Caenorhabditis elegans: one gene and its partners. The protein of the gene in region 2 interacts with the protein of the main gene of each other region in a pairwise test. Each region holds a gene or a part of one and is shown on either strand. Other genes may lie near its edges.

Region 1 (5,903 bases), on a different chromosome or scaffold from region 2:
GAAGAATCATTTTGGTTAAGTGGGCCATGGTCGAGAAACATTCCGCTAGGCCAGTCCAAAATCAAGTTTCTCAGTTGAAACTGTAAATTTTCAGCAGGCTACACATTTTTCCATTCTGCAACAATGTCTCTACTATCTGTGCAGTTTATTTACAGATATTGAGCAGTTTTTGAGTGAGTTATTACGTTTACAGTTTCACTATGTTGATTTAAAAGCAGCGGCATTACTAAGCTCACTCGTAGTACGATCAATCACCAGTAACTCTAACAAAAACCTATTTACTGCAACCGACGTCTACCTAAACAAAAATAATTTAGGGAGTTGTCGGGCGCTTATTGCAGCGAGAAAAAAGCACCCGACATCGCCCGGTTTCTGTTTTTTAATGCTGAACCCGGAATATGTCTGGCGCTTCACAAAATTCTTATATTTCAGCACCAACAAGCTCGCCTATTTCAAAGGCTTCTACTCCCTGATCTGGGTCGCCTATTGCTCATTTTTCGGCTTCCAGTATGCACTGGGAACCTATTTCTTTTTGGCGAGAGACCAGGTCTCAGATACAAAATAAACAGTTTTTCAAGACATTGATCCTTCAGGTATATAAATTTTGCTTTGCGCCCGACACCTCATGGGTTTCCACAGAAAACCCGCAAGGTGTCGGCCGCTTAAGTCCGATTACTAAAATTGTTACAATGTAGATCACAATGCCGACGATCATATTATTCATTCCAATAACTGTCATAATTTTCCTTCCTTTATTCAACTTAGATGTGAGCTTGCCGTCTGGAGTAATGCTGTGCAGCTTTACTTTGTATCCAGCCACGGATTCACTTATTGTGATGTATGTCGTTTCGGAGTATCGAATGACTGCAAAAAGTAAGCAAATTCCCAAAACTTTCAGTTGCAGCCGACATCTGGCGGTCTTCATTTTTCCATAGTGTTCCGTAGCGCTTGACTTCTAGCGGATTCAGCATATGTTCACATCGAGAACCCGGTAGATGTCGGGTGCTTGCAACAACCCGTGCAAGAAAAACCTCACAAACTTCCAGGAATTCGAATGATTCTGTTCAGAAGTTTCAAAGAGATTAAACAGTCAAGAGTTGGCACAATCGCGTCAGTAGGAGCAACAAGTTTCACACCAATGCCGCCATGAAAATCAATAACATTCTCATTTCCTCACTATTCTATCTATTTCCTCCATTAAATTTGAAAAAACAAACACTCAGAATATGTGATAAACGATGAAGAGAGTAGTCCGTCACCGGTTTTTCTACCGCCATATGTCCCCTCCTTATTCTCTCCTTTCTCTCTACCCCTTTCGTGTCATTGCACTAGATGACAAAGGAAAATGTGACTGCTTGGCGCAATGGTAGCGCGTTCGACTCCAGATCGAAAGGTTGGGCGTTCGATCCGCTCAGTGGTCAAAGTTTTTTTTTTTTTTCTAAATTTGAGTAAAAACTTAAAGTTATCAATATTATTTATTAAAAAAGTATAAAGAAGTATTGTCTTGTATATACACATAACTGGTGTCACAATTATACATTGGATGACTACATTCTCTTGCAACATTGTCCATTTCCACACGGAGAATAGTTTTGCTGGCAAGAGCAGGAGTTGACTGATTGAGTGAGGCATGGCATCTGGACTAGTTGAGCAGTAGAGCACGATTGATAGCATGATTGGGTGCATGCTGGAGCACATTGCTGCATTGGTTGTTGTTGTTGAATGCATTGTTGTTGGCATGATTGTTGGCATTGTGGAACACATTGAGCAGATTGAGAAACTGAAGGTTCTAGGATGACAGTCACAATTTGTGGAGCAACAACTGGAGATTGGCATGCTGATTGGCATTGCTGACATTGTGGAGCAGCTGGTTGCTGACATTGTGGAATACATTGTTGTTGGCACTGTTGAGTCTGTTGGCACGAAGTTTGACATTGTTGGCAAGCTGGTGCAGATGGAAGTGTGCATTGTGGAGCACACTGTTGCTGGCAAACTGGAGCATACTGCTGGCAAGTATTCTGGCACTGCTGGCACTGTGGAGCTGATGGCTGTTGGCATTGAGGAGCACACTGTTGTACGCATTGTGGAGCTGCTTGCTGACAGGTTGTCTGGCATGGTTGAGTACATTCCTGATAGCACTGTTGAACTGGAACTTGTTGTAGAAGACATTGTTGTTGACACTGTTGTTGGCATTGTGGAGCACATTGAGCAGAGATTCCCAAGTTGACATTGATGACTTGTGGAGCAACAGTTGGAGCACATTGTTGAACACATTGCTGCTGACATTGTGGTTGACATTGTTGAATTGGTTGAGCTTGAACACATTGTTGAGTGCACTTTTGTTGGCATTGTGGAACACACTGGACTGTGACTGGAGCTGGAGCAACACAGGATTGTTCACAGGCTGGCATGCAAGATGGTTGACATTGGACTGGAGCTGGAGCAGCTATTTGAGTATAACAGGAAGACGTCTGACAAGTCTGCTGGCATGAAGATTGACACTCATTCATAGATGGAGCAAATTGACATTGGTTCTGGCAAGACTGCTGACAAGCTGGAGCACATTGAGAAGTTTGCACTTGGTAAGTTACTTGCTGAACTGGTTGGGCACATGAGCAGGATGTCTGGACTGGAGCAGTGTTCTGACACGAACAACTGTACTGTTGTGGTTGAGTTGCTTGTTGGCATGAACAACTTGGTTGAACTTGTGAAGCACAACCACATGATTGACGTTTATCACGAATTGAAGATGCCTAGAAATAATATAATGTTTCAAGGTGTACATATAAATTGTTAACTAATTCTACAGATAATTCAGAAAGTAAGTGAAGCAACAGTAATACAAATCGTACCTCAACAATAAGAAGGCTAGAAACAAGAAGAACTGCTGCAATTGTAATAAAACGCATTGTCAATATGATTGAAGAGCTGCTAAGAGACAATTGATGCCCTTGTTTTAATTTTTCCGACTTTTATACCAACGTCCTACAACCCTGTTTCATTAGCCATCAAACAGTTCCGTCCCACTTATCAAACTCCATCCATCAACCGGCTTCATGCTCAGCGCAAACATAACAATGATAACATGGCAAATGAACCAAAAAACACGCTCGTCGCCTCCCAGTCTTACACACACTATTTCTTGAGGGCACGGCAAGTTGCAAAGATCAAAAAGAGGTTGGGTGCGCGTTTGCACTGATACAGTGTTTTTTTTTTGGATTGCGCCGAGTTTCCGCTTAACTATGTGTACCAAAAAATTTCGTTTACATTTTCAGAAAAGTAATGAAAGGGTTACCTGTTGAACTTTAGAGTTCGGATTTCGACAAAACGATTTTAAATTGTTTATTGCCTTTTGACGCCACTCATTATTAGAAACACCTTTTTGTTTGCTCTCACAATAGCCATTCGAAATTACAAGACTTGAACTCTTGGACTATTTTTTCCGGCACTATTTTTTTACATTGCTATAATCGTACGCAAGCAGTGTTTGAGGGGGTATATAAAGCCTTGATATCTGTGGAAATCATCAAGCCCTGCTTCTTCAACCATTATCATGCGTTTCATCGTATTTGTAGCTCTCTTTGCTTCCAGCTGTCTGCTTATCGAGGTTTGATAAAGTTTCATTGTACTTTCACTTTTAGAATGGCACGACATTTCTAAACTTTTTCAGTTAGTATTTCGGTTTATTAATAATTAAAAATATTATATTAACTACAACAATTTTCCATCACTTGATGAAAAATTCATCATGTACAGTTTTTTCAAAATGTTCTTGATAATACGGTCTAGTTTTCTAAGTGCCCACATCTTACAAATATTTGTTGGACGTAATCGATGTTAGCAACAAAATGCTTGTTTTCCAAGTTCACAGAAGTTTTTTCCAGGCAACATCAATTCGTGATAAACGTCAATCATGTGGTTGTGCTTCACAAGTTCAACCAAGTTGTTCATGCCAACAAGCAACTCAACCACAACAGTACAGTTGTTCGTGTCAGAACACTGCTCCAGTCCAGACATCCTGCTCATGTGCCCAACCAGTTCAGCAAGTAACTTACCAAGTGCAAACTTCTCAATGTGCTCCAGCTTGTCAGCAGTCTTGCCAGAACCAATGTCAATTTGCTCCATCTATGAATGAGTGTCAATCTTCATGCCAGCAGACTTGTCAGACGTCTTCCTGTTATACTCAAATAGCTGCTCCAGCTCCAGTCCAATGTCAACCATCTTGCATGCCAGCCTGTGAACAATCCTGTGTTGCTCCAGCTCCAGTCACAGTCCAGTGTGTTCCACAATGCCAACAAAAGTGCACTCAACAATGTGTTCAAGCTCAACCAATTCAACAATGTCAACCACAATGTCAGCAGCAATGTGTTCAACAATGTGCTCCAACTGTTGCTCCACAAGTCATCAATGTCAACTTGGGAATCTCTGCTCAATGTGCTCCACAATGCCAACAACAGTGTCAACAACAATGTCTTCTACAACAAGTTCCAGTTCAACAGTGCTATCAGGAATGTACTCAACCATGCCAGACAACCTGTCAGCAAGCAGCTCCACAATGCGTACAACAGTGTGCTCCTCAATGCCAACAGCCATCAGCTCCACAGTGCCAGCAGTGCCAGAATACTTGCCAGCAGTATGCTCCAGTTTGCCAGCAACAGTGTGCTCCACAATGCACACTTCCATCTGCACCAGCTTGCCAACAATGTCAAACTTCGTGCCAACAGACTCAACAGTGCCAACAACAATGTATTCCACAATGTCAGCAACCAGCTGCTCCACAATGTCAGCAATGCCAATCAGCATGCCAATCTCCAGTTGTTGCTCCACAAATTGTGACTGTCATCCTAGAACCTTCAGTGTCTCAATCTGCTCAATGTGTTCCACAATGCCAACAATCATGCCAACAACAATGCATTCAACAACAACAACCAATGCAGCAATGTGCTCCAGCATGCACCCAATCATGCTATCAATCGTGCTCTACTGCTCAACTAGTCCAGATGCCATGCCTCACTCAATCAGTCAACTCCTGCTCTTGCCAGCAAAACTATTCTCCGTGTGGAAATGGACAATGTTGCAAGAGAATGTAGTCATCCAATGTATAATTGTGACACTAGTTATGTGTATATACAATACAATACTTATTTATATTTTTGCAATAAATAATATTAACGATCATGTTCATTTATTTTACAGTTGAAAAATAATAAATCAACTTTAGAATGTAATTTTATTTTTCTAAGAGGATAATTTATCATGCTTAACTACCTCTTTGAAATTAAAAACTAGAGTCAGTATCATAAAAAAATTGTTTTTTCATTTTAAAAGACATTTACATCCATAAATTGAGCGTTTTCATTGCGCAGTTGTTTTGAAAATTACCTGGAACATTAAAAAGTGTTTGTTTGCGTCCGTATTGTATTATTTGTTTTCAATAATTTAATAAGTTTTTTAAAGATTGATGAATTATATATTTCTTGGAAGCTTAATTTGATTAATGCTCCCTACTAACTGGCTCGTGTGCCATATTTTGAAGACTGCTGCAAAACAAAAAAAAATCACTGTTCCGTTACTCCCTTAAAAACTCATACCCACATTCGAGTTTTAATTTTTTTTTAAGTCAAAAAAGAAACAAAAAAAAATTAAGCTTATGCTAAAGAAAAACCATTGAATATCACTTATTAACTACAAAATGGAAATTTCTAACTTTTTTTGCAAAGCAGCATTGACAAAATAACTTTTTAGAAATCCACTGTTTCATATAGTTTTTAAAAGTTCGGGTACTTTTACTTTTTTCACTAGGAATATAGCATTAAATAAGCATTTCCCCTCGAATTTTAAACAAAAATTATGAAACCGAAACTTTTTTTTGCTCAAATTAACATAACATACACGTTTCATCT
Region 2 (8,229 bases):
TACTTTTAAACACGAAGTTCCAGGAAAAAAACCATTTTAATGTTTGAATATTGCAGCAAGGCGAAGGAGTCCCCACACTGCGTTTGGCCTCAACGACACCGCACGCTGAAGAGTTCCGTAGATTCTTGAAAACAGTTCACATTGTGCTCCATGCCAGATCGGAAATCGACATCGAGCCGGACGCGATTCGAAAAGAGGTGCGAAAGCTCCCGGCGGCGAACGCCAACGCCATCGTCGAATCCACGTACAGCATGCCGGAGAAGGTGAATTCGGTGTACCAGCCGACGAATGCACACTCGGAGCTCAGCTCGGAGGCTCGCGAGAACTTCTGGAGCACAACAAATCAAGAGGAGAAGAGGTACTGTCTACATGAAATCGTGTCCTGAAAATCAAGTAATCACCTCTAAGAAGTTTCAGACGACAAGCCGACGAGAAAGTGGCTCATGCGAAACAGCAAAAGCAGTATGAAGCTGACCGTGATCGCACGGCCGCGGCAATTCACACAAAAGCCGAAGATTTCCAGCCGGAGAAGGTTAACTCGGTGTACAAGCCGACGAAGCCCCACGTTGAGCTGAAGACGGTCAAACGGGAGGAGTTTTGGAGCAAGATGAACGAGGAGGAGAAGCTGTGGGTGTTTTGAGTAATTTATTGAAATAGAATTCGCAATTTTAGGCGTCAAGAAGAAGAAAAAACCGCTCGTGAACAAGCACACAAGCAGTTCGAAGCGGATCGACAGCGAATGGCCTCGGAAATTCACTCCAAAACAGAAAACTATCAACCGGATAAGGTCACATCGGTGTACAAGCCAACAAAACCGCACGTGGAGATCAGTTCATCAGCTCGCGAAGAGTTCTGGAGCAAGATGAACGAGGAGGAGCAGCGGCGGCAAGCGGAGGAAAAAGAGGCACAGGCCCAGAAGCAGAAGGAATTCGAGACGGATCGAAAACGGATTGCGGATGATCTTCACGGGAAGGCTCAAATTAGTGATAAGCCCGTGCCATCTTCGGTGAATCCAGCTCCAGCTCCCGCCCCCACTCCGAGCGCAGGTCTCGTTGGAAGCAGAAAAGAATTATTCAGCTCAAAACCTTCCGGTCCAGTGCTTCCGAAGCCTCAAGTGAATGGATCGCCTAAGAAGTGGCCGCCAGTTGGCACGACCTCTCCGCCCCGTGAACCCGTTAACCGACTCACTGAGCCAGATGAGCCTTCGACGTATACGCCAAAGCCAATAGCTTATGAGCCAGAGCCAATGGTTTACAAGCCCGAGGCTATGAGTCAGTTTTCGTATAAAGTTTATTAGTCCTAATTTGAATATTTTCAGAACCTGCCGTCTCTTACGATGCATACGAAGAGCCACCAGCAGAGCCAGCTCCACCTACATTCCTTGCTCCAACCCCGGTCATTGCTCCACCTCCACCTGAGCCAACTCCAGCTCCATCGCATTACGCCTCCCAGTACGATGCTCCACCGGTTCACGAGTCTTTCGAACCAGCTGTACCTCCAGTTTCAGCTCCTTCCCACTATGCGTCTCAGTATGATGCTCCGCCGGAGCCGATCGACTCTCACTCATCGAGCTCTCAACTGCCAGCTCACATCGCCTCACAGTATGACATGCCTCCAGTGATGCCAGAGGAGCCCGTGTTTGCACCGAAATCCTCGCCAATAAAAGTCGCTGCTCCACCAATTGATCAGTACGATTTCCCGCCGGCGGTCGCCGAGCAGAACGCGATGGCTCTCTGGGACTACCAGGCTGCAGATGACACGGAGATCTCATTTGATCCTGATGACATTATCACAGATATCGATCAAGTCGATAGCGGATGGTGGAAAGGACGTGCGCCCAGCGGCCGCGTAGGCCTTTTTCCCGCTAATTATGTGAAGCTGATTTAATTTGTCTAGATAGCCTAACCGTTCTTTTTTACTAATTTATTGTGCAATGTTTTTTTCCCATTTTAAACTCAACAATCCGCGGTGCCTCCCATTCTCCCACTTCCTGTAATTTATTATACCATTACTTTTTATGTGCATTTTCTCCGTAAATGGCAATATGAATCGAAAATCGAAGAATCTGTTTTTATAATCAATTATTTCATTCACAGGACGATAATAAGCGCAGTCTCGAGTACAATATTGATGATGATAATGCTATTTAATTTATGAAATCACTGGGGGAATTGCAAATACGAAGTTGGCACGAATCCTGACTCTTCGTTGTGTTTCCTGCAACTTTCATTTTATTTACTTGGTAATTCTTTGTTACTTGTATTACTTTTTGGTTCGAGTCCATCCATCTCCGTGATCGTGTTCGAGTACGAGAAGAATTTCGCCCTGCTCGATGGACATGGTCTCCGCGGAGGATTTGGCAAATTCGAACAGTGCGGTTACCGTAACCGCTGTCTCGACTTTAACTGAATCGGGAGTCGATAAAGATTTGCGAATGGCACCTGCAAAAAATTTATACTTATATTTAACTATTTTTTCTTTTATAAAAGCTTTTAAAAGGAAAAAAATGGATTTTTAATTTAACCTGAAAATGAGGATCTGAGAATCTTTGGTGATGAGATTTCGGCTCTTCGTCGTAGTGGCGTCGGAGTTGAAGACTTCGAGGTTTTTGGCGAGGAGATAAGCCGTTTCGGAGTTGTAAACAGTTGGCGGAGCTGAAAAACGCACAGTGGGTCTCTAAACGAACAATCAATTATTTTTTATTGCGCCAAAAGTACGGTATTTCGACACGACAAATTTGTACTAAACGCGAAAAGGTGTACGTATTGAAGAATACTGTAATTTCAAATTCTCGTATTATCGGTTTTTGACTATGTCCTCTAATTTTTTTTGGTATTCAACGCTGAAATAGCCAAATTATTTTTTAATTTAAAGTGTTTCAGACAAAAAACCAAAAAATAAATTGGGAAAAATAAATGCACCGTTCTTCTCGGAGAGTACACGAGATGCGTAAATCGACACATAGCGGTGTTGCAACAACATGTTAGAAGTTTGCTTTAACGGTAATTCTTATATTTTTAAGTATAAGGAAGTTTTAAAATTGAGTAAGACTTCAGTAATTTGTTTTTTTTCCTGAAAAACAACTTTTGGCTGCTTACGATATTCTTCGACGAGTCATCTGCTGATGAAGAATTTCCCGCTTCGCCAGACTGCAAAATACGATAATTTTCAGGAAAAACCGAACAGTTTAGTGATACCAGCACGTCTTCGATAGTTTTGGATGATGATTGATTTGTCGAACTGCCTGACATGCTTCTCGTTGTGTCAGGGGTATCACGGCCGCCAAAAGAGCGCTCCTGGCCTTCTGGAAAATTTGTGTTTAAAGGGATTATTTTTAAAAGAAGACATTCATTTTTTGAAAAGAGGTATTTTAACTAGAATTTTCGAAAATTTGACGAAAAACGTTTCATTTTCATCCATTCTTTGTATTTTCAGCACCTTCCACACTCATTTCAAGCATCGCGTAGAACTCCTTGAGGTTATGTATATCCATTTTGAGCTTCTCTATCTTTTTAGCGTACGATATAAGTGGTTCCGTGCACGCCGACGGATTCCCGTGCTGCGGATTTGTGTAGTAGGCTTGTTGCAGTCTGAAATTACAGCAAACGTAAAGTTTTGGGCCCGCCTATTTTAGAGATATTATTTTTCTTTTCTACACTTTTGGCAGAACTTCAGAGAAAATCATTTTTCCATTACTTAGATGCGAAATTAAGTGCCAAAAATACAGTAATCAGTTTCGAGACGACAAATTTGTGTTGAATACAAACCGGTATGTACCCTTAAAGATTACTGTAAATTTAAACTTTCATTGGACTAGAATTTGTTTGTCTTTTTTTTGTTGAAATTTTCTCAAAGTTTCAGTGCTCTCGGTGCATCTACTCGTACCTAGTGATGCCTTCTCGTCCCTGAATCGCTTGTTCCAACTGTTTTTCCATATCTCGAATTTTGGAGCGAAGACACGAAAGCCGCACGTGCGCAGGCTTGCTCTTGTCGGTATACATCAATTGATCGTTGTTGGAAGCCTCGGGCTTCTCATCCGCCTCCTTTTCCTTGAGAATGCCCAGAAAATTGCGAATTATTCGATTCTTGCTAGGGCTGCTTTTCAGCAATTTTCCTCCACTTCCGTCGGCAGAATCTGGAAATGTGTATTTTTATTTGGAAAAGGTTTGAAAATATGTATTTAGTATTTTAAAATTAAATAAATTCAGAAGATAAATTCTAGAAAAAGGAAATTTCGAGTCAAAAACTGCAAAGTTCCGACTTTTACAGATTTCTATTCACCATTTGTCCGGCTGTCACAATTTTTGGGATCCCCCAGATCCTCGATTTCAAACGGAGCCGGCTGCTCGATGGTTGCTCTGGAAATTATCTATTTTTACGGATTTTCAGTCGAAAAATACTGACTCAACGGATTTCAAAACCAGCTGAGCATCACCTTCCGCGTCGATTTTCCCAACTTCCCTTTGCATGATTTTTCGGCATTCTTCTGCAAAAAACATCGTCGATTTTTTCTTCTAAACGCGATAATAACCGGTTGAATCAGCTAGCGAGTCATCGAAGGAGACAATTTTCTGCAAAACTTGTCGCATATCGGCGATACACTCCTTGTCGACCGCCTTGAGCCGCGCGAAAATCACTGGGAGCAGTTCCACGTGGTATCTTTTTTGCTCGGCGTTGGTTTTGCGAACCAGCGCTGAGTAGTCCTGTTTAGCAAGTTCACATGCTTCATTTCGAGCCTGAAATAAATAAATAAAAGCGTTTTGCGATTTTTTGAGCCTATTACATTCGCAAGAGCCCTGGCTTTTTCTAACTCAAGCCGCGAAATTTCCAGATTTTTATCAGCTTTGTAAAACTTTTGATACGAGTTTTCCGCGTCTTTGAACGATTTTCTGCAATATTAACGATTCAAATCGACTTTTTTCAGATTTTTTCCTACAGGTAACACTTCCCAGACTTGCACATCTCGTTGATCTGATCTTCCAGCTTGTCATTGATAGTTTTCAAGTCATTAATCGCATTTTTCCGGGAACTTCTCATCTGACACGTCTTCGAAGCCACGTAGGAAACCACACCTCCCCGGATGTGCTCCGCCGACGTCTGAAATTCGATGTTTTTTTCAACTAAAATCTGACAGAATTCTTATACTTGATGTCGAGTGGCAATCTGATCAAGTTGTTGAAGAAATGAGTTGAATGAGCTGGTGTAGCTTACACTTTTTAGAATTTCATCATCTTCTTCCGATTTTTTCGCATATTTCTTTGCGAGACTCCTACAGAAAGTTATGAAAAACTTCAAATTCCGTTTGTTTAAACTGAAACCTCAATTTCGTAGAATATTCCTCCTCAATCGCAGCTTTTTCCTTCGAGAATTGACCTAATTTTTCGAAAAAATCTATTCCCTTTTGTGTGTACGAGAGGAGCGCGTTTGATGGGTCCTTAAATTTTGGTTTTAGAGTGGAAATCAATAGGAATTTTACCTGAACCGTGAAAAATCTAGAAACGGGAATCATTTGAACATCGAAAAATTGATTTGTTCGCAGAAAACCAATTGCGGAGTGATCGAGTGTAAATTTGTGATTGAAATTCAAATTTCTGTAGATCGTGTCGAGACCTGTCGCAGGTTTCAATGCGCGCGCCTTGAAAAACACAGTAGTTTAACTTTTTATTCAAATCACATTTCAGATTGTGTTTTACTATTCACAAGGACAGGCAATATTATAGTTTTAGCACGATAATTTTGGAAAGGCCGCATTACATCACATCATCAGCAAAAAATCATTTCTCAGACTCCTCAAGCCCCATCTGAAGATGCCTGTTGAGGAAGTTGTTGATATTGATTCGTCCGTCGACGACTTCCACGCCGAACAGCAAATTGTCCACCTCCTGATTCGTCATCTTCTCCCCGCCGTTTTGGAGCATGCTCTTAAGCTCCATGAGCATTATTTGTCCGTTTCCCTCGCGGTCGAAGTGCGATAGAAGCGTCTGAAAATTCGGAAATGTTGTCTAAAAAACCTTCAAGAAATCGAACCTGAAACTCCTTGAGTGTAGTGCTTCGCCCGCAGGCAGCTTCAACCTTTTTGTAGATAGGAATAAACTCTTCAACTGTGATGCGTGCTCCGGAAGTTCTTGCCTTGCTCACTTCGGCTAGAAGAGCCTCGGTAGGGTTGAGCATCATGGCACGGAGAGCTGTGGGAAGCTGAATTTTAAAAATTTGGTTTAAAGTTTCTAGGTCAATTTCGATGCTATGAAATTAGTGGTGGACCTCGATGCAACCGCGGTCGACAATCTAGTAGACATAGTTAAAATACTGCACGTTGTAAAAGAGTTCATTACGGAAACATAAAATTCTAGGAACGCGTTTTGCGCAACATATTTGACGCGTAAAATATCTCGTAGCGATATCTACAGTAATCCTTTAAATGACTACTGTAGCTCTTGTGTGTGTCGATTTACGCACTCGACTTTCGAAATGAATTAAAATCATTTATTTATCTACCAGCCGCTGACCGCGCCTACGGCGCGGCCAACGACTGGCGAAATTTAAATTGTTCGACACATAAAACACTATATAATCTTTTAACAATGTCACATGAAAACAGGTGGAAACTTTTACTTTTTCAAACATTCTGGAATGTAAAAAATATCACAGAAGCTTCCGCCTCTCTAACTCTCGAGCCAATACCTCTTCAAAAGCACAAAGTCAATTTTTTCTGAACTACAGTAACCCTACAGCAAATCCACAATACCCCTAGAGTACCTTGACATTATCCCACACCAACTCCTTAGCTCCCGCCAATATAATATCAAACACGAAGAGTCTCTCCACGAAGGGTCTCACCACGAAAGGTCTCACCACGATGGGTCTCACCACGAAAAGTCTCACCACGATGGGTCTCACCACGAAAAGTCTCACCACGATGGGTCTCACCACGATGGGGCTCACCACGAAAGATCTCACCACGATGGGTCTAACCACGATGGGTCTCACCACGATGGGTCTCACCACGAAAGATCTCACCACGATGGGTCTAACCACGATGGGTCTAACCACGAAGGGTCTCACCACGATGAGTCTCACCACGATGGGTCTCACCACGATGGGTCTCACCACGAAGGGTCTCACCACGATGGGTCTCACCACGAAGGGTCTCACCACGATGGGTCTCACCACGAAAGGTCTCACCACGAAAGGTCTCACCACGAAAGGTCTCACCACGATGGGTCTCACCACGAAAGGTCTCACCACGATGGGTCTCACCACGAAAGGTCTCACCACGATGGGTCTCACCACGAAAGGTCTCACCACGATGGGTCTCACCACGAAGGGTCTCACCACGATGAGTCTCACCACGATGGGTCTCACCACGATGGGTCTCACCACGAAGGGTCTCACCACGATGGGTCTCACCACGAAAGGTCTCACCACGAAAGGTCTCACCACGAAAGGTCTCACCACGATGGGTCTCACCACGAAAGGTCTCACCACGATGGGTCTCACCACGAAAGTTCTCACCACGAAAGGTCTCACCACGATGGGTCTCACCACGAAAGGTCTCACCACGATGGGTCTCACCACGAAAGGTCTCACCACGATGGGTCTCACCACGAAAGGTCTCACCACGAAGGGTCTCACCACGATGAGTCTCACCACGATGGGTCTCACCACGATGGGTCTCACCACGAAGGGTCTCACCACGATGGGTCTCACCACGATGGGTCTCACCACGAAGGGTCTCACCACGATGGGTCTCGACACGAAGGTTCTTTTTCTCAGAAATTTTAAATTCCAGCCAAAATATTTTCAAAAAATTAAAATTTGAATTCCCGCCAAAATATTTTCAAAAAATTAAAATTTTAAATTCCCACCAAAATATTTTCAAAAAATTAAAATTTTAAATTCCCGCCAAAATATTTTCAAAAAATTAAAATTTGAATTCCCCGCCAAAATATTTTCAAAAAATTAAAATTTGAATTCCCGCCAAAATATTTTCAAAAAATTAAAATTTGAATTCCCGCCAAAATATTTTCAAAAAATTAAAATTTGAATTCCCGCCAAAATATTTTCAAAAAATTAAAATTTTAAATTCCCGTTAAAATATTTTCAAAAAATTAAAATTTGAATTCCCGCCAAAATATTTTCAAAAAATTAAAATTTTAAATTCCCGCCAAAATATTTTCAAAAAATTAAAATTTGAATTCCCGGCAAAATATTTTCAAAAAATTAAAATTT
Region 3 (7,140 bases), on a different chromosome or scaffold from region 2:
AAACGACATAATGCAGGTTTTGTCAGTGACAGTTTTTTTATACGGTTTGATAAAGTTTTGAGAAAAGTATTTGCAACGTTTATGAGTCTTAATTTTTTTTTTTTCAAATTTTCCTATTTTTATTGTGTATTTTTTACATCTCCGAGAGAGCGTAATAAATTAAAAAGTTTTAAAAATATTGTTTCAATAAAAAAAAACAATTTTGATTCTAATCAAAATGCCAAAACATTTGATTGACAATGGAACATACTATAACAATTCTCAATAAAACAGTTTCTTCAATTTGGAACACCTAATATAAATAAAACCATGAACTAAAAACTAAAACTAGAATACTTTGTTTTTAAATAGACAAAAAAGAAAGCGGCTACATGAAATGGTCAAAAGTATCATCTAAAAAGCGGGAAGTGGAATGAAAGAGAAGATAATACTGGAAAAAAAACATTGTGCAAACAATCAAATAGATGTCGAGACCGAGATTTGCACAAACGGGGGAAAAGAGCTCACCGCTCTACCTATCCAATTTTTTATTTATTTTTCAACCTTAGATATTGGTTTTGATTTTGGTTTTTATTCCACTTTTTATCTAATAGTAAGTGTTAACCTTCAATTCTTTCGCTCTATACAGAACCTCATAAATCAGAAGGTGTGATGGTGATGGCATTGAAAATTGTATAAGGAGAAACACAAACGAAATGAAATCTGCGTAAGATCATAGTTGTAGGCTCTACAATTTGATTGACAGGCGGTTTGGATTAATCTACCTTTTCGGAGTGAACGGAACGTTGTACACTGAACGGATATGATGACTAATTGGTAGTGACGGTACAATGATTTGATGACAAATGACCAGAAAATGAAGAAATCCCGAGACATAAAGAAAAAACAAAAAGTGCGAAAGATTGGTGACTTGAAGAGGAATAGAGATGGATGCAAAAGTCAAAAAATCAAACATATTGTATTATATGAACACAACGATGTACAGAGAAAAAAGAAAAAGGGGCAAAAAGGCAGAAGAGCTGGCGGGGTTGTTTTGTGTGAATCATCTGAATAAACAGGGCTTTTTATATGCGTTAGCTGGTACGTATATGCATATTTGTGTGTATTGACAAGGTGGCTGAGGTTGGTGCATCTCCTTTTTGTATACCGTGCAGTGCACGGCAGTATCTTTTTACTCGACTTTTCCCAGTTGGCATCGTTTGAGAAAATTTTCCGCAACTTAGTTTCACTAAGGAAAATTATGTAAAAGTAAAATTCACTTTCACTATTGAGTTGTCGGCTTACACTTCGGTTCTCCTTGGGTTTATCAAAGAAAAAAATTATGTTGAATTTAATATTTCTTAGTTGACTATTTTGACTATTTTATTTTTTTTTGATAAAAACAAAAATTACCCAAGTACTGCCAAGGTGGAGCAAGAGGGTACAAGTGTTTTTTTTTTCAAATTTAAAACACGAATAATCCCTACAATAATCAATTCACTACAAATATAAGTAAAAATTAAAAAGTTCAAGTTCGTTAAACCTACTAAGTATACTAAGTAATTACAATCGAGACATTTGCAGATTTTTAGTTGAACAAATAAATTCTAAACTGTATAAAACTCGTGAATATAGAAAAGTAAAAGTATAACACAAATTCAACATATACACCACAAATACCACATAAGAAGCCAGGTAGTAGCACATTAAAAAACACGACAGAGGTTAGTGGCCAAGACGATTTGGAGGAAGGGCAAACGTCTGTGACCCTCTCTGTTTTCTGCCCCTCTTGACATCTCCAACGGAACAATTGAACAGTTTTAATAAGGTTGCTAGAGTCTGGTGGAATGAATGAGTCGAGATTTGATGAGTTGAGTTAGATGGTTCAGAATTGGTAATTTGAAGAAAATTGGCCAAGTGGAATTGGGAAAAGATGCGAATTAAGAACTGAATACTAAGGTAGGTAACGTAAATTAAACTAAAAATAAGCAAATTTCTAGTCAGTGACTCATAATCAAGACATGGTTATTAGATAAATTTCAGGAAAGAAATAATAATTTTGACACTTTTATAATTAAATTTTTGATTTATTGCTTCACGTACAATTTTGAATAACACATGTGTTGTGAGTAAATTAATTGTGAATTTTTGCTCAAAAGTTGTATAATTTTACAATGTATACATTCTATTCCGTTACCACTATTATTAAAATTATCTTCATTCAATATCATCTGGAACTGTTCGAATGTGGGGTATCCCTAGCATATTAATATGATCAAGACATTTACACTATCCGAAAATAGCCAACAAACATATCAAAAATGTATATAATTTTTAAATCACACACAAAATCAAAACAAAGTAACATTTACTTAGTTTCAATAAATCATTTGGAAGTCAACCAAAAAATACATGTCCTGTCAGTTTTACACATTAAGGAGATTCATATTATTTTTATATATACATTGTTGTGTTCAAATCTCCAGTAATGCCCAAAATAATTGAGAAATTATTTGAAAGCAAGACATTTTTTCAAAAATAATTCTTATTCTCCCGAAAATAATTCTTCCGAAGAACATGAAAACTTAAAATGTGTGTAATTACGATATTTAATCGTGTTTGACAATTATTCATATGTGAATGAAAACAAAATTCCGCTTTCAAGACGTTAAATGTTAAAACTCAGTTTTTAACCTATACGGCAAAAGTATAAAAAATTGATAATGTCTTGTGAAAAGAAAAAACAATCAAGAAAAGGTCTCACCTGTATAAATACACCCTCTTCTACAATTTCGGTGTCGGAGCTGGTATCGGATGAGGAAGACGACGCCTCCTCAACCTGAATATCCGGATTTGCCGCCGTGGTGGTAAGTCGTTTCCGGGCCGTGGCGAACACAATTATACGTAGAGAGAGGACAAACGCCTGAATTCAGAAAGCAAATTAATTGGTGAATTGTTGTAAGAAGGTGTGTGGGAATTGAAATGGAATGGTGAAGGCGTCAAGAATTCAAATTTTCTCTAATGAATGGATAGTGTATCTACTGGACTAGTTTTCCTCTTTCCTCTCAGTTTTCAGATCGCCAAAAGGGCAAAAAGTTATCGGAACGAAGGCCCTTATGTAATGAGACGGTTGAAGGGCCACCCGACAACCACAAGACGCAATTAGTATCCGAAATGCAATGATTATTAGAAAAAAGTGGAAGTGTGGTGGTCATGTCTGCAAGCGAATGTACGAGATCCACAATTGCACGCTTTTGCTGCCACCCATACGCGAAACATTTTGAATTTAATAAATTCTGAGAGCGGAAAGCCCGGTGTAAAAAGAAGAATATGCTTGGAAATAACACGGGAAACTGTGAGAAATTTGACACGATTTAAAGAAAAAGATCCGCATTTTTGATACCCTTTTGTTCTTATTATAATTGAGAGAGGGAAGGGTCTCAGGCTGAACGCTTATTTTAAAGAAAACATATGTCAGATTCAATATCATATAGAGGGATGTGATATAAATATAAAGATGGACTGAAAAAAAATCATCGTGAAACTTCAAAAATTTTTTTAATTATTATCCAATATTTACGAATTTTGACAATTTTCGAGAAAGGCGCGAAATCTGAATGAATATCTCTTCTCGAATGAAAATCTCGTTTTGGCCTAACTTTACCTTTAAGTTAAAAAATTTAATAGGAGTATTTTTAATTTAGTATTAACTTGTATTAAAATTATGGCAAAAATACTCACCAAAATAGCAGAAAATGCTGTCTGTAAGATGGCGTTGAAGCCGTCCGGAGGACGACTTTTCTGTGACCTGTTGTTTGACGATTGTAGATTTTCTATGTCCATACAATTCTGAAAAAAAAACCTTTAAAATTTTCATCATTCCTTTTTGGAAAAGCGGATAGAATTTCAATCAAATTGCCTACATATTGCTGAATGTAGAATAATGGGTTTCAACAATAAAAAATGATTCAATAGGAACATGAATTGTTGAACGGAAACTTAGCAATTTAAAAAGGCTTGGTTAGTTTTTTATACAACAATTTGAAATCATTGTTTTGTTGAATAAAAAATTTGAAGAAGGAGACATGTGCGACCACGAGATGTTCCATGATTCAGACTATGATGTATCAACAACTTTATGCATATGTAGTGAAAAAATACGATGATGGGAGAATAACACACACGAAAATGAGCGAAAAACAAAAGAAGGATGTGCTACGGAAGAAGTAAAGAGCTCTCAGGTTTCTATTATGTGCCAATTTCTTTGTACTGTCAAGAAGAGAAGAGAGTGTGGTGTTTGCTCGTGAGTTCTGGCGAACACGAAGACAAGTTGGTAGCGCATAACAATTGCTTGTGCCGCACTAAACCACTTTTGCAAAATCTTTTATCTTCTTTTATCTCTCTAGTGATTTCAATCATACATACGTGCCAGTTTCACACCACAGATTACTGTGCAATAATGGAGTTACATCAAACTTCAAGCTAGTAAAACATTGGGCTTGGTTAGAAAATCAAAATTATTCGTATTTCTTTGTTAAATACAATAAATACTCTTCATATAGAAGTTACATTCTTTTAATAAAATGACAAAGTTAATTACAAAACAAGTTTTGTGATCTACAGAGGTGCGCGGGAATTGGAAAAAAAAAGTATCTCAAATTCTAAAATTTTTGAATTATCTCAAGCAAACGGATGACAAAAAAACTCTACTAAAATACACATGACATTTCAAGCTTAAATTTGTTAGGTTACAAGATTGCCAACAAAATCCGGCAATTCCTGTAATTTTTATTTCCAATGTTTTCAAAATTACCAAATGTCGCGCACCCCTGAAATTGAAATAGTTCCAATTTTGAGTTTAAAAATATTTAAAAAAAAATATTTTAAAAACATCATCTGAAGTTTTCAGTGTTACCAATTCATAACGTGAATAGTTTTTGGCACAGAAACAATTCGAATTTGTTTGAATTTAGATATTATATTATTTTATTAATGATAAAAATATAGTATTCAGAGGTGCAAAAAAACTAATAAAATGTAAAACTAAATTCACAGGAGATGTCGACCAGCAACATGTAATACAACATGATATGTATACAAAACAACAACAAGCAGTAGCAGATTAATAGTTGCATACTTTAGTAACGGTTAATGATGATGTTTTGTGAAAAGATGAGGATAAAAGCTTAGGTTTTTTTTTAAACTCCAGACTTGATTGATGAATTCTAGGTGATTTTGAACAAATTCTGAAAACATATGCTACTCTCCAAATGCAATTGTTGAATTAATCTAGGCAAAATGATGATGGAGAAATTTATAGTGCATTTATTTATTATGAATATAAATATCGAGAGGAATGGAATGAAAGATAGTCGGGAGTGAGAATGAGCGAGAACTCGTAAAATTGTAACGAACTACAGATGCGAAAAGTGATAAGAAATAAAGATGGAAATACAACAGATTATGATAATGTTTGTGCATGATGTTATGTGTTATAATTCGGTTTAAGAATGAAAGTGGTCAGGAATCTAGAGGAACGTTGAAATTTCGAACTACTTTTTTTAAATGAATCTCACTAAACAAAAAATTAAGATTACACGAATATTGAAAACTGTTTAACTTTGCAAACACAATAGAATTTTTTTCAAAACGGATTGCCTCACACTATGATATGACGGATTTTCCGGTCACCGGCACCTGTCAAAGATGATTAATCAATTTGTTTATTGACATTTCTCTCCTCGTTCACCGATAGTCTGATTATAGGGAAAAGGACGAAAAAGGCGATGATAGGATGACGGGCGAAAAGCTTTAGATATAAATATTTATTTGTTAAATGGATTAGATCACTTCCGAATGATGATTTCATTCAGGACGTTTGAAATAATATTGTCTAATATTGGTGGCTAAATTAAGGCAAAATATTAAATAAGTCAATATTACCGAGATTGGAGAATGATTGCACTACATATTAAATTTTCCAAAAGATATCTATTACTACTAATAATAATTTACATCAAACCTCGTAAATTTTTATCGAAAAAAAAATTTAATAGAGAATTTTTTTGAAAGTGGCATTTTTGTAACAGGTACATTTTGAAATAAATATTTTCATAAGGGGTAGACGGCAATTGCCGAAAAAACCGATTGCCACAATTTTTAAAACTCAACATCTGCCGAAACATCCGAAATGCCCAACATTTTAGAATGCCGTCCATCCCGGATTGTGACTCAAAAAAAATCTGTTAAATAGTTGTACTTATTAATTATTCAGCAGTGCTAAAATGAGTTAGTTAAAAATATTTTGATTTTACAATAAAACATAACAACCTCAAAATCAAGTTAAAAAATTTTCATTATTAATGCTAGTGATATGTACCTTTATAATAAGCAAAAAAATCTGCGACAAAAAACCATCCTAATAACAGAAGCTTGCAAACATTTACTATGATTGATTATAGTTATTATGATAAAAAAGTGGAACCGAACGTTGCAAAAGTGACAATGTCTTGTGTGAAAGAATTGAATTCCAATTCTCAAGTCCAACAAAAGAAAATCGGAAAACAGTTGTGAAAACGATGGCGGAATGCCCGATTACTACTCATAACAGTTTGAAAAGTCGCGAATTGGATGAATAGTCACAATGGCCATTGCCAGAACGGACTGTAGAAGTTTAGTAGAAAATGGAAATGAGGTCTATTTTCATCTCATTTTCCAAGAAAGTAACCCTTTTGGAAAGAAAATAAAGAAGGCAGATATGACCCGTAAGACGGAGATTTACGATAAACGAGAGAGGGTCGAATAGAAATTAGTGCAAACCAGAAACATCGGGATAAGGTTTGGCGGTTAGCAAACAAAATGCATGGATAGATTTCAAAGAGATATTTAAAACTTTTCAGTCGACGTATTCTAGGATTTCAAAATCTCCGGAAAATTACCGATGGTTTTTAGACTCAAGTAATATATTTTCAGATACCCTCTATTAGTCTTGCATGCAAGACTAATTTTCAAACGACCCGTAGGGGAGCAAGACTAATAGAGACTGCAATACTATTAGAGGCTGCAAGACTAATTTTCGTAGATCCAAAAGCTTTGTAAAGCTTACAATTTCTTGTCAAAAATTTGACTTGAAACATTAAATGACACAAAATACATACTTGT

What was found.
Region 1: the proteins of toca-2 (region 2) and pqn-90 interact in a two-hybrid assay, tested with the Caenorhabditis elegans proteins (one large-scale study listed by BioGRID).
Region 3: the proteins of toca-2 (region 2) and ajm-1 interact in a two-hybrid assay, tested with the Caenorhabditis elegans proteins (one large-scale study listed by BioGRID).

What each region holds. Positions count from the first base shown.
Region 1 is NC_003282.8:15,288,354-15,294,256, forward strand, and holds pqn-90 (Prion-like-(Q/N-rich)-domain-bearing protein), read right to left. Parts: upstream 2,910-5,903; coding exon 2,853-2,909; intron 2,836-2,852; exon of another isoform or gene 2,814-2,835; intron 2,784-2,813; exon of another isoform or gene 2,754-2,783; coding exon 1,548-2,753; downstream 1-1,547. Other genes in the region: pqn-91 (Prion-like-(Q/N-rich)-domain-bearing protein), read left to right, coding at 3,554-3,607, 3,885-5,090.
Region 2 is NC_003281.10:13,753,279-13,761,507, reverse strand, and holds toca-2 (Transducer of Cdc42-dependent actin assembly protein 2 homolog), read right to left. Parts: upstream 5,565-8,229; 5' UTR 5,510-5,564; coding exon 5,477-5,509; intron 5,435-5,476; coding exon 5,319-5,434; intron 5,270-5,318; coding exon 5,146-5,269; intron 5,098-5,145; coding exon 4,937-5,097; intron 4,890-4,936; coding exon 4,784-4,889; intron 4,737-4,783; coding exon 4,532-4,736; intron 4,487-4,531; coding exon 4,405-4,486; intron 4,359-4,404; coding exon 4,282-4,358; intron 4,136-4,281; coding exon 3,886-4,135; intron 3,591-3,885; coding exon 3,439-3,590; intron 3,305-3,438; coding exon 3,198-3,304; intron 3,150-3,197; coding exon 3,099-3,149; intron 2,655-3,098; coding exon 2,525-2,654; intron 2,442-2,524; coding exon 2,267-2,441; intron 2,224-2,266; coding exon 2,160-2,223; 3' UTR 2,069-2,159; downstream 1-2,068. Other genes in the region: dbn-1 (DreBriN 1/DreBriN-like (where Drebrin is from Developmentally REgulated BRaIN protein) family homolog), read left to right, coding at 57-358, 418-627, 673-1,271, 1,319-1,887; mlc-7 (EF-hand domain-containing protein), read right to left, coding at 5,775-5,981, 6,028-6,195. UniProt on the Caenorhabditis elegans protein: Plays a role in protein trafficking, actin organization and embryonic morphogenesis. Potentially acts as a cdc-42 effector. May play a role in egg laying.
Region 3 is NC_003284.9:9,079,665-9,086,804, reverse strand, and holds the start of ajm-1 (Apical junction molecule ajm-1), read right to left. Parts: upstream 3,823-7,140; coding exon 3,721-3,822; intron 2,903-3,720; coding exon 2,744-2,902; intron 1,537-2,743; exon of another isoform or gene 1,334-1,536; intron 1,118-1,333; exon of another isoform or gene 976-1,117; intron 773-975; exon of another isoform or gene 582-772; intron 520-581; exon of another isoform or gene 372-519; intron 1-371.